2 linked regions of the Lytechinus pictus genome follow. Each later gene encodes a partner of the first gene's protein in a complex. Links are inferred from orthologs where the notes say so. Each region holds a gene or a part of one and is shown in the gene's direction. Other genes may lie near its edges.

Evidence for each region.
Region 2: ruvB-like 1 (region 1) and protein UXT homolog share a complex: the UniProt entries of both Homo sapiens proteins name them as parts of the PAQosome complex. The link is inferred for Lytechinus pictus from reciprocal best matches to the Homo sapiens genes RUVBL1 and UXT.

Annotation. Positions count from the first base shown.
Region 1 is NC_087247.1:4,839,080-4,846,148, reverse strand, and holds the start of ruvB-like 1, read left to right. Parts: upstream 1-4,057; 5' UTR 4,058-4,217; coding exon 4,218-4,361; intron 4,362-6,840; coding exon 6,841-7,060; intron 7,061-7,069. UniProt on the Homo sapiens protein: Possesses single-stranded DNA-stimulated ATPase and ATP-dependent DNA helicase (3' to 5') activity; hexamerization is thought to be critical for ATP hydrolysis and adjacent subunits in the ring-like structure contribute to the ATPase activity.
Region 2 is NC_087247.1:51,229,332-51,237,244, reverse strand, and holds the start of protein UXT homolog, read left to right. Parts: upstream 1-4,902; 5' UTR 4,903-4,960; coding exon 4,961-5,130; intron 5,131-7,913. UniProt on the Homo sapiens protein: Involved in gene transcription regulation. Acts in concert with the corepressor URI1 to regulate androgen receptor AR-mediated transcription. Together with URI1, associates with chromatin to the NKX3-1 promoter region.

The DNA of each region.
Region 1 (7,069 bases):
GTTTGCAGACCTCGCGATCATCGTATGACTAGTGGTGCGGACAGGGCCGTAGCTAGAGGGGGGGGGGGGGTATGGGGGGTGTGACACCCCCCCCCCCCAACATTCATGGCAGTCGGCAAAATCATGTACCAGTTGGCAAAATGGAGGATAGGGGAGAAAAAGAAAGAGGGAAAGAAAGAAAGAGAAAAAAGAAAGAAGGAGAGAGGGGGAGAGAAAGAAAAAGAAAGAAAGAAAGAGAGAGAGAGAGAGAGAGAGAGAGGAGGAAAGAAAGAAAGAAATAAAGAAAAAAAAGGAAAGAAAAATAGGGGTACTAACTTCGAAGAAGGTTACGACGTTTAGAGTAAAGACAACCAGTTGGCAAATCCAAGTCCATGTAGTCAGGCTTAGAGCCCTATAGTCAGAAAAATACAAAGGACAAAACAGATGGAGCTATAATAACACACAAAGTAAGCCCCGGTCCTCCCCCAATATAAACAAGCTTGTGAGTTTGCAAATTATACCACAATTATTGACGATTTAACAAACACATTAGTTTTGTAAAATCAGAGGCAAGACTAGGTAAATAAATATGGGGTAGGATGAATTTCCAAGGTTTAAGTTGAATAATCAAAGCCAAAGTATAGTTGGCAAATTATAAAGTGGGCCTATTAAAGTGGCAGAACACTACACGCTCTACCAGTCAGCAAAGTGATGTACAAGTACTGCCCCGTTTCAGATCTGAAAAGAACAGAACACAAGACTTAAAAAACTGGTAACTCTTCAGTTGGCAAATTCATGAAGACAGGTCTACAACTTGTAGACTTGTCTACAAGTTTGCAGTTGGCAAAAACACAAAAATATTCTAAGTTATTTTTACTAAATTCTGTCGCCGAAGATTTTTTATTTATTTATGGTGTCAGAATGTGCTTGGGGTGGGGATGGGTGGGAGAGGGGGCAGGTTGGGGTTGCATCATTCCTGGTGCTCGCATTGTCTGACTAATGAGATATATAGTCCTGTTGTATTTTAAGTCCATGAAGATTATGCACCAAATTATCCCCTCGCACTTCAAGTTATTATTGTTTTATGTAGTGACATATGCTTTTTTCATGACTATATACTTAAAGTGATTGCCCCCTTTTAAGGCCTTAATAAAACATTTCCAGTCTCTGCTTACGTTCGCATTGGTGTGGACCGATATAGATACCGGGCTGGTGTTAAATCAACACCGGCGTTTTTGCAGTGCACGAATTCCTAAAGACAGTCCTTAAAATGTCCCTTTTTCTGATCTAATTACAACAAATTTTCAGCTCGCGCTTCGCGCTCGCACCCCTTAATTTGTGAAATAGTAAATTCCTACAAACAAGCCATAGAATGCCCCTCTTCAGGTCTAAATTTTAAACATTGTCAGCTCGCGCTTCTCGCCCGCAACATTTCATTATTTAGTGAAATACGTATCATGTTCATGATTACAATTATGACCACAAAAAGTGCTTCATGTACCAGAGTAATTTTAACAGAATCAGCAAGCGCTTGGCGCTCGCATTAGATGACTATGATGAGATACGTACGCACTTCATAAATTCCAAAAGATAGTCCTTAAAATGTCCCTTTTTAGGGTTAAGTTATACAAAAAAATTCAGCTCGCGCTTCGCGCTCGCATTGTTTGTTTTGTGAGACAGGTACGTATCATGATTACAAAACTTTGCTTATAATGTCCCTTTTTAGGACTGAATACATTTTCAGCTCGCGCTTCGCGCTCGCATTATTTGATCACTTAGATACATATCCGTTTAATGGCACAGTCCTTAAAATGTCTCTATTAGGTCAGTAAACATGGTAATTGAGCGCGCTTCGCGCGCCCACTTAATGACTCAAAAATTTTGCTGGTGCCCCCCCCCCCCCCCCATGCCGTGACCCAGGGTACGCCACTGTTAGCAGTAGCGCTCTTGAAATTTTAGTTGAGACATCTTGCACAGAAGGTCAATTAAAAATTAACAAATCTTTGATTTTGATATTATTAATGCATATAGGGTATATCATTATACTGCAAGTTAGCAACTACGGCACACTATAGCCTTTCTATTTTGATCCAAAATGTTTATTTTTATCTTTGTATAATTTACCTTAAAGTATTCACCAAATGCCACTAATTCAATTCTAAAAATTCAAAATCTTTTAGCATGTGATTATTGTAGGGGGGCACATCCCCCATCAGACTCCCCCTGTGCTCACGTTGGCGCTGTCACGCCAAATTTAGTTGGCAAATTTAGCTGGTACACCCCCCCCCAACAAAATGCTTCTGGCTACGGCCCTGGGTGCGGAATGTTCCATTGCGGCTTTAATTATGGGGGAAATAGCATCACGGAGGGATAAAATGTATACACAGATAATGTTTCAGCGTTGATTCGCAATATTTTGAGTCAATTTTAATGAATTATCGTTGTTTGAACATTTAAACATCATTATAAAATGAAAGAAATAAGCAAAACTTAATTTTCAGACTTAGCTATGCAGTGGTAAGCTAGGATGCACCCCTCGTATACATAATGGACCCGTCACGAGTGTAGGTTTGCTCTTCGGACATCACTATCACAAAGAAAATCTCCTCTGATTTGATGATAAAAGTGCCCTATTTCCTCATCTGATAGAAGAAGTTGTTACCATTCATTTCAGGGGGGCGGAAATTCTATCTGAATCAACGCTTGTCCTTGATACACATTTGTTTGTGAAAAAAGGGTATAATGCAAGGGAATTCTGCGTGTTATAAGGGTGCGCGCGTGCAGCGAGGACCTTCTGTCCGCTAGTTTTCCATATGTAATTGATTGCGCCCCCAAAATGTACATGCATCGGGTCGGGTCATGTCCGTGTTTTCCTGGTGTTCCGAGTCAATTTCTATTTTTAGCTTAGTTGTTTGCCCCGACTAGGCCGTCAGGCTATCCCTCGGGGCCCCAACCCCCCCCCCCCCCTAAAAAAATGAAATCAATAGAATTTAAAAAAAAATAAGCACATTAGATCTATGCCCTTTTAATGTTCTTGGGCGGTATTCTGAGGTAATTTTATCTTTAAAATATTTTATTTTATCTCTTAAAATGAAATTGGTATTCTGAGATGACATTTTATCTCTCAGATAAAATTTTGAATTTTATCTTGCATATAAATTTTATCTTGCGTATCTACAGATGATACGCAACAGAGGAGTGCCTGCGTAGACATACCCATCGCGTATCTGGCCATGCAACGCGGATGATGTGCTTGCGCCCATGTTACTTTGAAGAAAAAATAAAATAAACTTAAAAGAGGGTAGGGGCTGTTTTATCTCTGCGACGTTGCTTTTATCATTATTTCTTGGTGAATTAACTACAAATGTTGACATGAAAATTAAGAAAAATTATATATTTATTGAGAATAATACCTTAATGTTATTCCTGTACAATCAGGAAGTATTTCATAAAACTTTTCTTGACTAATATTGTCTTTGAAATGATGCTTGAAAAGATGTGATATAGACTTCGAAAAAAGATGAGAGTATTGTCATTTTTTTTAAAGAAATCTCTGTAAAGACGCGCAAGCGTATTTTGCAAGCGTATTTGAAGTCAATAAATTGACGCAATATCACTCCTTTGCCACACCTCCTGGCGGAATGGATTTTCATTGGTTGAGTGATATGAGAGAGCTATAAAAGCGCATTTTTAATTGGATATTGATTAAAAAATAGGTGTGTCTTACAGAGATAAAATGAAGATAAAATTGTTCTCAGAATACTAATTCGGAGAGATTTTAAGGGTATTTTATCTCACTGATTTTAACGGAGATAAAATATTTTATTTTATCTGAGATAAAATGGATCTCAGAATACCACCCCTTGTTTTTAAAGCTTTTTAGCCTTTATTCAGATCATAATATTACATACAGCAATATAACAAAGGAAAATAATAAACATCGTGATAAAAATTTTCAAACAAAAATTATCTTAACCCAAAGCAGTTAATTGAGCTGCACCCATAGAGATGTATACTACTACTAGTATACATCTCTATGGCTGCACCACAGCTGCTGGTGTTGCTGCCCTCTTCGTTCGTTACTCAGACAATTCACTGAGACCCCATGCGTTGATGTTGATGTTAGATACAACTTGCCGGGACAATTTGGTTAAGATCCACAGCAAATCTATCGTTTAAGCCCGGATTCTAAGAAAATAAATCAAATCAAGTTATAGACTCAAGTTGTAGGAGCAACTATGAAGATCGAGGAGGTAAAAAGTACAACGAAGACTCAAAGAATAGCGAGTCATACTCACGTGAAGGGCCTTGGACTTGATGACTCTGGAAATGCATCATCAAAAACAACTGCAGGTCTGATTGGTCAAGAAATGGCCAGAGAGGTTGGTAGATCGAAACATTAGATCGAAATAACGTTAGGCTAGCCAGGAGGCTCCTAGAGAGTAAAAATCATTTACTAATATATGCTTACCCTCCACGGAGCCAGGGATTCCTTCCCATTCATGTACGCGTGCCACCAAAAAACCAGAAACTTTCGCCCCAAGATTTCTACTTTCTAAATTTTCTAGCCATAAATCATGTATGTAGAGAGTACGGCCTACGGGATACAACTTCATTACCGACATTTCTACGCTATCGATTTCATTTTTAAACAAGAATTCATTAAGAAAACAAGAAAAGTATTGTGTAAAGACAGGGGAAACTTGCCGAGATGTTTACGCCGCCATCTTGTTTCTCGTTGTTTCTCTTCGCCAACGTTACCTTTAGGCCTATACCTTTATAGGCTAGGCCTATACCTTTATACCGCATCTACTGGAAAAATACAGTTGTTCCTGCAGCTGCAGTCAAGTTTCCAGGTCTATCTCGTTGTCTTCCTAGCTTGGATAAGTTCGAAAACTGAGTCTGTGCTATTTGTGCAATGTGCTGTGCCAATTAATGTATTGGAATGAAATAGGCACTATTCCCATGCGTGAACATAATGCCACGCAGACCAGAACTTGTCTAACTTTGTCTTGAAGCCATTGATTGTTGATGCTGTGATTACCTCAGTAGGCAAAGAGTTCCAGTCATTAACCACTCTAACACTGAAGGGGTTTTGTCTCACTGCCAGTCTACGCATGCATGCGTCTGTAACGTTGGCGAAGAACAATGCCAATGCATCCGTTACGTTGGCGAAGAACAATGTCTGAGAAACAAGATGGCGGCGTAATGCGTCCAAAATTTTGTCCGCTGACTTTAAAAATAAAAGTGGAATATTATAGGGAATAGGGGTCTAAAGACTAAGTAGTGCACTCACACTAACGTTAGTACAGTGCGAGGTCATATACTTATCTCGCACCAAGAACCGTGTTTGGCAGTGGATTTCTTACTGGCTGGTCACAACACACGACTTCTAAAGTTCTAGCCTTGATTTTTCTGTGAGTTGCGGCATGTAATGAACCCTTGAGTGGTCTAAGTGTTAACCACTTTTAAGTTACATGTAGTAACATCACATGTACATCTTTGGTTTTGCAAGATTAACTTAAATTTGTTGTCTTGATTTCAATTGCTCTTAGTAGATATGAAGGGTTTATTCATGTTTAGATGATACAAAGTTTATAAGTCTTTTTCTTTTGAGTCACATAAATAAAACTGTCAGTGTCACAAAAAAGAATCATCAATCATTTGTACATGTTTCAATGAAAGTGATTTGAAAAACAATAGTGATTTAAATCGCAATTTAAATCAACGTGATCTAAATCGGCCTACCCTGTAATAAGAAGCAAGACATAGTCCAGCGGGTCGTGTGGTCTAGTGGTTAGAGCATTGGACTCATAATCGCAAGGTTGTGACATGTGCACAACAACAAGGTTGTGAGTTTGAATCCTCACTCTGCTATTGTCTCCACTTTGATAAAAAGGCCCAAGAGTAATATCTGTCGTCTATAGGGTCAGCCACTATGACTGAATAACCTAGACGTAAAATGTTTCCTAGGTAATTGGTTATATACCAGCTTGGCGTTTACCAGCAAAAATTATGTTTGTACTAAAGTCTGTTTTACTTTTAATTTATCTTGCTCAATAACTTAAAGGAGAATGAAACCCTTGAAACCAGCTGAATCCATATCAAAGAGAAAAATGAAAGAAACATATTGTTGAAAGTTTGAGGAAGATTGAATGAATAATAAGAAAGTTATGAGCATTTGAATATTGAGATCACTAATGCCATGTAGACCCTCCCATTGGCAATGCGACCAAGATCTGTGATGTCACACACGTACAACTCCCTCATTACTTTCGTACTTATTTCACTTATATTCTCACTTTTATAGAGTCTATTAGAAGGTGAGGTGTTCTCTTTATGAGAGGACAAGTAAAGAGGTTTCACAACATTATATCATTGATGAATCGTTTGTCATATGATTAGAATGAGCAAAAAGAGATGTTTTGGGGTATATTTTCAGCGTCCAAAAGGGGAGAGTTGTTCATCTGTGACATCATAGATCTTGGTTGCATTGCCAATGGGAGGATCTCCATAGCATTAGTGACCTCGACATTCAAATGCTCATAACTCTTCTATTGCTAGTCCTATTTTACTCAAACTTTTGTTGATCTTATTCTTTGATTTTTCTGCTTTCACAAAAGCTAACTTGCTCCAAGAGTTTCATTCTCCTTTAAGTGATGGAATTGGCAAGTAAAGAGGAAAGAGGGCTTAGAAAATCAGAAATTTCCCTGGAACTATTTTAGTCACTCTATAAGAAAAGAATGGTTCACAAATTGACACACTCATCTGACACACTCATCTTAATAGACTGCATTCTAAGTCTCCACCTTTGCACAGGGTCTACATTTTGCATATTGATATTAACTTGTTTTTTTACAGGCTGCTGGTGTAGTTGTAGAGTTGATACGCTCCAAGAAGATGGCTGGCCGAGCCATCCTGCTAGCAGGGCCTCCTGGGACAGGAAAGACGGCTCTAGCCCTTGCCATCGCCCAGGAGCTTGGCAACAAGGTACCCTTCTGCCCCATGGTTGGAAGCGAGGTCTTCTCATCAGAGATTAAAAAGACAGAGGTGCTGATGGAGAACTTCAGAAGGGCAATAGGTAAATAGA
Region 2 (7,913 bases), about 46 Mb from region 1:
ATGCCTGTATATGGGAAGGGTTTCAAGGCTCCGTGATGAAAAAGTATATATGTAAAAATATTTAAAATATCATCACGGAGACCTCAAGGCTAGATTCAACCTTCTTCGGCATCATCAAGAGTAATCTACATCATGTATGTAGAACAACATAGAAGAAGAGGGAAACTACAATGTAGACTCAGATCTAGAGCCTAGATCTAGTCATCATGGTCATGCTAGTCTTGAGACTAAATGAGCGCATTAATAGCATGTGCATTTGCCGCACCGCAATACACCTTATCGCAAATAGCATTCGTCGCGTGAGGGCGTTTTTCACCGCAAAGGCTCACGGGAATAAAAAGGGAGCAAACGCGGAATCGGTTTTCGGGAAGCCATACAACGCCATGTTTTGTGTAGTGTCACTCAAAATCCAGGCTTTTTTAAGAGTCTGATTTTTTCATATTGAAATTATTTTGGATATTTGAATGTAGATTTATAGAACAATCTTTGCATCATGATTGCACAGTGAAAGTATGAACTCAATGCTCACCGTATTTTCCAAGATTTCTGGGGCTAAATTTGGGAAGATTTTGTGGGAAAAGTGAACATGGTGATTGCGGGCATGTGCCGATCGACTGTAGAAAAGAGCACGTCGGCGATCAGAAGAGAGCCTGAGGCTATTTTTCCATTAAAGAATATTGATGAGAATTATAATGTAGACCATGATATATATTTTATCTCCATAACTAGTGAATTTAGCTAGTTTTTGTTATTTTGGGGGGATATAGTCCTTTGCAAATGAGTTTTGGGGTTTGATCATTACAAGATCTAATGCCGGGATCTAATAGAGGGGGGGGGGGGTGAGACTAGAGGATCGAGCGGCCGGAGCTCTAGACCAAATATAAAGTATATTAAAATAAGCTAGTGTGTATATACATATCAATAAATACATATAAATAGGTCTATGACATGCAGAATAAAGATTAAATAAATCCCTGAAATAAAACATTTTATGATGCCATATACAGGGCAGTTTATAATCACTCGCGTCGCGTGCGGGTTCGTAATCACTCGCGTTATGAATTTTTTGCGATTTTTTTTTTCATTTCGGTGCGATTTTTTTTCTAACGGTGTCTTCAATGGGACAAACACGCTGGGAAAATAAAATGAAATTGAAATTCGAGTTTCGTTTTAAGCCGGCAAGTGCCTTAAATAAGATGTACTCGACTTCTGTTTTAACATAACAAACAAGCAAATCAGCCATGTGGCTCAACTAACTTAGAATAGATCCGGACTTCTACTGTGTCTTATACGAGGACTCCGAGTCGGAACTTGCCATATCTGCCACATCGATATTACATCGTATCATTCCCATATGCGGACATGCCTACATGCAATGGCCCCAAGGCGGCCGGACCCGGCCGCGGTCGGACACGACGTGCATCGGTAGCATGGAGCAAGCTAACGTGAGTCGAGCTGAGTTAGATCCCACGTTATATATGAGGCGCCGATTGTACCAATATTATATAGAACAATTATTTGTTATATAATCATTATTCATTAAATAATAACTATTATTTATATATAATTTACATTCTATTTGTAAATAATTACTATTATATAAAATAACATTTCTAATAATTTATATATAATTCCAAGTAATACTTCATTACTTGTAAATAATAATACCAACGCGACGCGAGTGATTACGAACGCGAGTGAATATAATAAGCCATATACAGGCACTATAGTATTCTCCATGGTCTCCCTCAGTCTAACCTCTCTGTAATTTCATTGTCTGAAAATTAAGCAGCTGATGGATATTTAATTCATATAAATTATATATATTCCATTACTTTAATATTATTTTAAAAATTTGCATTTTAAATTAATTTCATCACATTCAGTCACTAATTACTTCTCTCACAGATAATGTACCTTAATTTCATTATTTTTAAAACTTATTTTCTCTCATTATACTTTCATCTATTCTCATCCATTATTTTTTTTATATTTAATTAATTATTTTAATAAAACTTCAGAATGTCCGGCCATGATCCTGAATTACATGCAATTATGTATCTGTGGAGAGAAAAGAAAACACAGCTCGGTTAATATCTGAATAGAGTCATGATTGAGATAATTATTTATGAAACATGTATTCTTGACAATCGATTGATATATTACTAAAATATATAACTAGGATAAAGTAATCAAATCTACTGCAGAGTTTATTATTGATCATGCATCATTTTATTAATTCCTTGGGAATTCCGGGACCAGTTTCCTCCACTGCCTCGCCGACGTACTCTGTCCCTGGGCCGAGAGTGCCCACAGTCCGTGCAAACGGCATGCATACAAGCACACTTTGCACAGCCACAGCCTGGTCTCAGTTGTACAGCTCAGAATACGCACAGACAGTGCGCGAAGATGAAACAAAATTGCACTTGTTTTCATAAAATATGTGGTAATTCTTGCAACTATAGCTAGCACATCTATCTCTGCCACCCATATTTTTAATTAAGAAGAAAAGTGATGTTAGACTACGGAACAAATATGACGAGGCGTTTACTGGAAGTTAGCAAAATTTTGGCTGCGGGCGTCGCTCGAGTTTTGATACACTAAGCCTAATAAGCCTGGAAATCGTACACTTTATTGTCGGCTGCTTGCGTTCGCATGGTCGCATCCGGACAATAGGGGCGCTATTCAGTAGAGGCACACGGCCAATATTGGAGACTGTCTCCAATGTGGGAGATTATCTCCAATATCAGAGACTTTTGTAAAGAATTTGGGTATCCATTTTCAGTTTTGGAGACCAATTTCCTTTGTTTACATTTGCTGCAAAAGAATTACCTTGGCGGCAAATAAAAATGTGATAAGGAGATTCCTCATGAAAAATTAGCCCTTTCAGTCAGACGGCAGGTCCCAAGAAAGTGGCTTCTTTCATCCATGCATCTTGTTTCCTATTGTTCTTCGCCAACGTTACAGACGCGTGCGTCGGGTAACGTTGGGGAAGAACAATAGAAAACAAGATGGCGGCGTAAACATCGGGCAAGTCTCTTCCGTCTTTACACAATATTTCTCTCATTTTTTTTGATGAATTCTTGTTCAAAAATAACAACGAGAGCGTAGAAATGTCGGAAATGAAGTTTTATCCCATGACATGTAGGCCTAGCCTACATGATTTAGGGCTAGATCTTTTAGAAAGAAAGTAGAAATCTCGGGGGCGAAAGTTTCAGGTTTTTTGGTGGTACACACAAAAGTATATGACGGAAGCCCTGGCTTCATGAGAGTGACCTTACGTTAGTAAATGATTTTTACTCTCTAGAAGCCGCCTGGCTAGGCTACCCGTGGCCACTCTAGGCGACACCCCAATACTTACCCGTGCTAATAAACTGGGACTCCACTCAAGCGCATTTGGGCCGCCCTAGCTTAGAACTAAGCAATATTATCTAGAAATTGTTACATTGTAGTCATTAAATATGTTCTATTAAATAAATTGATAATGTTTAATCGGTACTCACCGGTTCTTTTGTTGCATTTTCAGACCATTTCTCACAATTCTTCGTAAATATTTGCGGCAAATTTTGTCGCCATAGACAGCTTAGCATCCATCTTTATTGATAAATGGAGCGCCCTTTACGATAGTTGTTAATGCCGCGGAGAAATCGTTAGGCATTTTGGCCTGTGTTCAAGGCGTTCTTTCTGTTTTATTTTTTATATTGAAGATTGTGCATTTGTTGAATAGATCGAGTGTATAAATACACTCTTCCAAAATAATTATGATTCCGACCTGGCGCTGTTTAACTTCAATCTCTTTCACCTAAATTAGCGATGAATGCTAGCATTATTATAAAATATATATTATTAACGTCTGACGAAAAGAATAACCAACCGATCAGCTGACGAGAACGCGAATCACGTGATCTTCATATCAGCTTCGATCGCGAGTCAGAAGAGAAGAGCAGCTGCCCAGAAAATCAGGAAAAAGCCGTGAAAATGTAAGTTCCCCTTCATTTCTTTCATTTTTTTGTTGTTGCTAACGATGCATTTACACTATAAAATTATAATTTAAATAAGAGAAAGGAATATAGCTTGTACTTGTGATATAATATATAAATATCCTGTTCTCAGAGATTTCTAACCAAAAATACTACTGATGTCGCCTATGAGGTCCATACATGTAATGTTGGACCTCATTGGTAGGATGGGGGATCGGGTGTCCGGACACTTTATATTGTTGAAGCCTTCTTTATTTGTCTTTGGATTACACTAAAAATATGAATTCAATAGTTGTAATCATCTTCCATTTTGTTCTCCATAATATTTCCTTACATTTTGTACGAAAAATTGATGAAACTTCGCTTGTAAATTTTTCCAAATGACTTTCTAAAATTGATCGTCCGGACACACAACCTGTCCGGACACACAACAACTGGGTATACTAGGAGTGCCCGTGGCGTGTGCGAGGGGAGCTTCTTGCAATAGAACTTACACGTTTTACAGTATATGGGACTGTACTAAGGAAATTAAAAAAAAGTAAAATATAAAATCTATGGACTTACCTATCACCAACTTTCTGCAAATCAACTTTTTTCTGACTGGCAAGCAATAAACTAACATAATGTCTTATAATACCAACGAAAAAGGTAATAAAAACTATGGGTAATACCACCCAAATTCTGATATTGGGATCCAAGAGTAATTCGGCCATCTCTATAGTCTATCATCAGCTCAATGAAAATTATTTTTATTTATGTTTTTAAACTCTGTTTTTTTTTTAATTCGTGCAGTTTTTATTTTGAAAATATTAAAAATTTATTTAATTTATATTTTTATACATGAATAAAATTAATAAGATTAAAAAAACTCAGAAATAATTAAATTATAAAGCACTTTTAAACAACATTTACAGTTTTAGTCTCAGTCCACAGACCCCAAACCGGTACATTAGATCTAAAATTAGTAACAGCAGACAGGGATGCACCTGGTCAGAGATGCCTGTATCAGGCCTGTGTGCTGTAGACCACTGACCACTGCCACTGGATCAGCATCAAACTCCTTCTTCAAGTTCAAAATGTCTGAAGATATACCAGAAAAGGTGATTGAATATGAAAGATTCGTCAATGAAGTGCTTAGGAAAGATTTAGAGTAAGTTGTTTAAGTTAACCTTTCATTTTTAAAAATTTTATCATGATTGAAAATGAAATGAAATAACGTTAACAAGTTACAAAAAATACAAGTTAGTTAGGCCCTAGACCATGTAGACTTTTTAACTTCAAAATTCACACAAAATAATAAAAAGGAATTAAATAAAATTAAAATGAGACACGATCAGTCTATAAGTATAATGGGGTGACCATTATAATTTGCACACATTTTAAAAATCATCATGAAGTTGATTTTCAATCAAAAATTTCTAACACTAACAGCTCACACAAAATTAATCAAAATCATGATCATGAATACCAAACGGAAGGCAAGATCAGTCAAATTCGCTTGACGGAATTATAAAGTAGGTCAACATTACGTCAGACCACCGTTTGGAGAAAGACCGCAGTTCAGATTGCAAACTGCGGTACTATACCCCATTTTGCATTCGTAAATCCCAAAATCATTTCCAAGCCCAGGGGGCTGTTTCATAAAGCTGTTCGTAAGTTAAGAGCGACTTTAAGAACGACTGGTGATCCTTTCTCGCGCGCTAAATCATCGCCAATGGTGTGTACCATTTACGGCAAGACAGGATCACCAGTCGCTCTTTATTTACGAACAGCTTTATGAAACACCCGCCTGATCAACCCCGCTAGGCCAGGTAATCCCCGCTGTCTCAATTTTACCTCCACAGGCCAGATTATGAGCGTTGAGCCATGGAGCTATTGGTTGAGCCAAGGACGAAATGATAAACAACAGCTGTGCTATTACGCAAGACTTCTCTGCCTGTCGTAGGACCTTCGGAATGAAATTATTGTATTCGATATTTAATCACGTTTTCAAAGGCATATTGTATTTAGAAATCCAATGTTAGCCCATTTTCAATTTCGAACAAAGAAAATCGACCTCGAAATAAGGAAAGAAAGTGAATTAAAATGACGGCATGCTTTGCAGGGCTGTTGTGTTATCTTCGGACCGAGGTCAAGAAACGGGTGTTTTGATACTTAAATTGCTTGCTTGGGGCAGTTATGGTTTGTCGTACTTGGATAAGAGAATTGATTGAGGGAAACTGGGGTATAGTGTTCTCAAATGGAGGTTTTTCGTCATGAAGGGTTTCGCTCGTATCGCGGTCTCAAAGTTCCATGGCGATCGACTAGTGCGCGCTCTGCTGAAAAAAGTGTCATAAAAAAAGTGTGACCTTAATTTGCGCACGATCGTTTTACGAGGCGTTAGAAAAGAAATCAAGCAGACAAAGGTAACATAATAAAATTGTATCAGATGGAGCTGGAGGTTAAAATGCCATAATTTTGGTTGGTATCACATTTTACTTACTTATTTGGAGACTTCCGCTTGCAAACTGGTGAATTCTTGATGCTTGTCGAGAAGGTCAGATTTTCTCAGAGCAGACGCAAAAGGTAACAATATTTGCCGATGTTTTACCAATATTTTCATTAATAGACCTTACCTTCAAGAAAATTACTATATTGGGTAATTTTAAGTCGCTCTTTCTGTTGGTGATATCAGTTTTTTGTCTCACCTGCATAGCAGAGTGAGACTATAGGCGCCGCTTTTCCGACGGTGACGGCGACGGCGGCGGCGTCAACACCAAATCTTAACCTGAGGTTAAGTTTTTGAAATGACAGCATAACTTAGAAAGTATATGGACCTAGTTCATGAAACTTGGCCATAAGGTTAATCAAGTATTACTGAACATCCTGCCTGAGTTTCATGTCACATGACCAAGGTCAAAGGTCATTTAGGGTCAATGAACTTAGACCATGTTGGGGGAATCAACATCAAAATCTTAACCTAAGGTTAAGTTTTTGAAATGTCATCATAACTTAGAAAATATATGGACCTAGTTCATGAAACTTATACATAAGGTTAATCAAGTATCACTGAACATCCTGCATGAGTTTCACATCACATGACCAAGGTCAAAGGTCATTTAGGGTCAATGAACTTTGGCCGAATTGGGGGTATCTGTTGAATTACCATCATAACTTTGAAAGTTTATGGATCTGATTCATGAAACTTGGACATAATAGTAATCAAGTATTACTGAACATCCTGTGCAAGTTTCAGGTCACATGATCAAGGTCAAAGGTCATTTAGGGTCAATGAACTTTGGCCAAATTGGGGTATTTGTTGAATTACAGCCATAAATTTGAAAGTGTGTTGGTCTAGTTCATAAAACTTGGACATAATAGTAATCAAGTATCACTGAACATCCTGTGCGAGTTTCAGGTCACATGATCAAGGTCAAAGGTCATGTAAGGTCAAAGAACTTTGGCCACGTTGGGGGTATTTGTTGAATTGCCATCATATCTCTATAAGTGTATTGGTCTAGTTCATAAAACGTGGAAACATGACGAAAACCTTTCATTTGAAAACACTATACCCCAGTTTCCCTCAATCAATTCTCTTCTCCAAGTACGACAAACCATAACTGCCCCAAGCAAGCACTTTAAGTATCAAAACACCTGTTTCTTGACCTCGGTCCGAAGATAACGCAACAGCCCGAGCAAAGCATGCCGTCATTTTAATTCACTTACTTTCCTTATTTCGAGGTCGATTTTCTTCGTTCGAACTTGAAAATGGACTAACATTGGATTTCTGAATACAATATGCATTTGAAAACGTGATTAAATATCGAATACAATAATTTCATTCCGAAGGTCCTACTACAGGCAGAGAAGTCTTACGTAATAGCACAGCTGTTGTTTATCATTTCGTCCTTGGCTCAACGCTCATAATCTAGCCTGTGGAGGTAAAATTGAGAC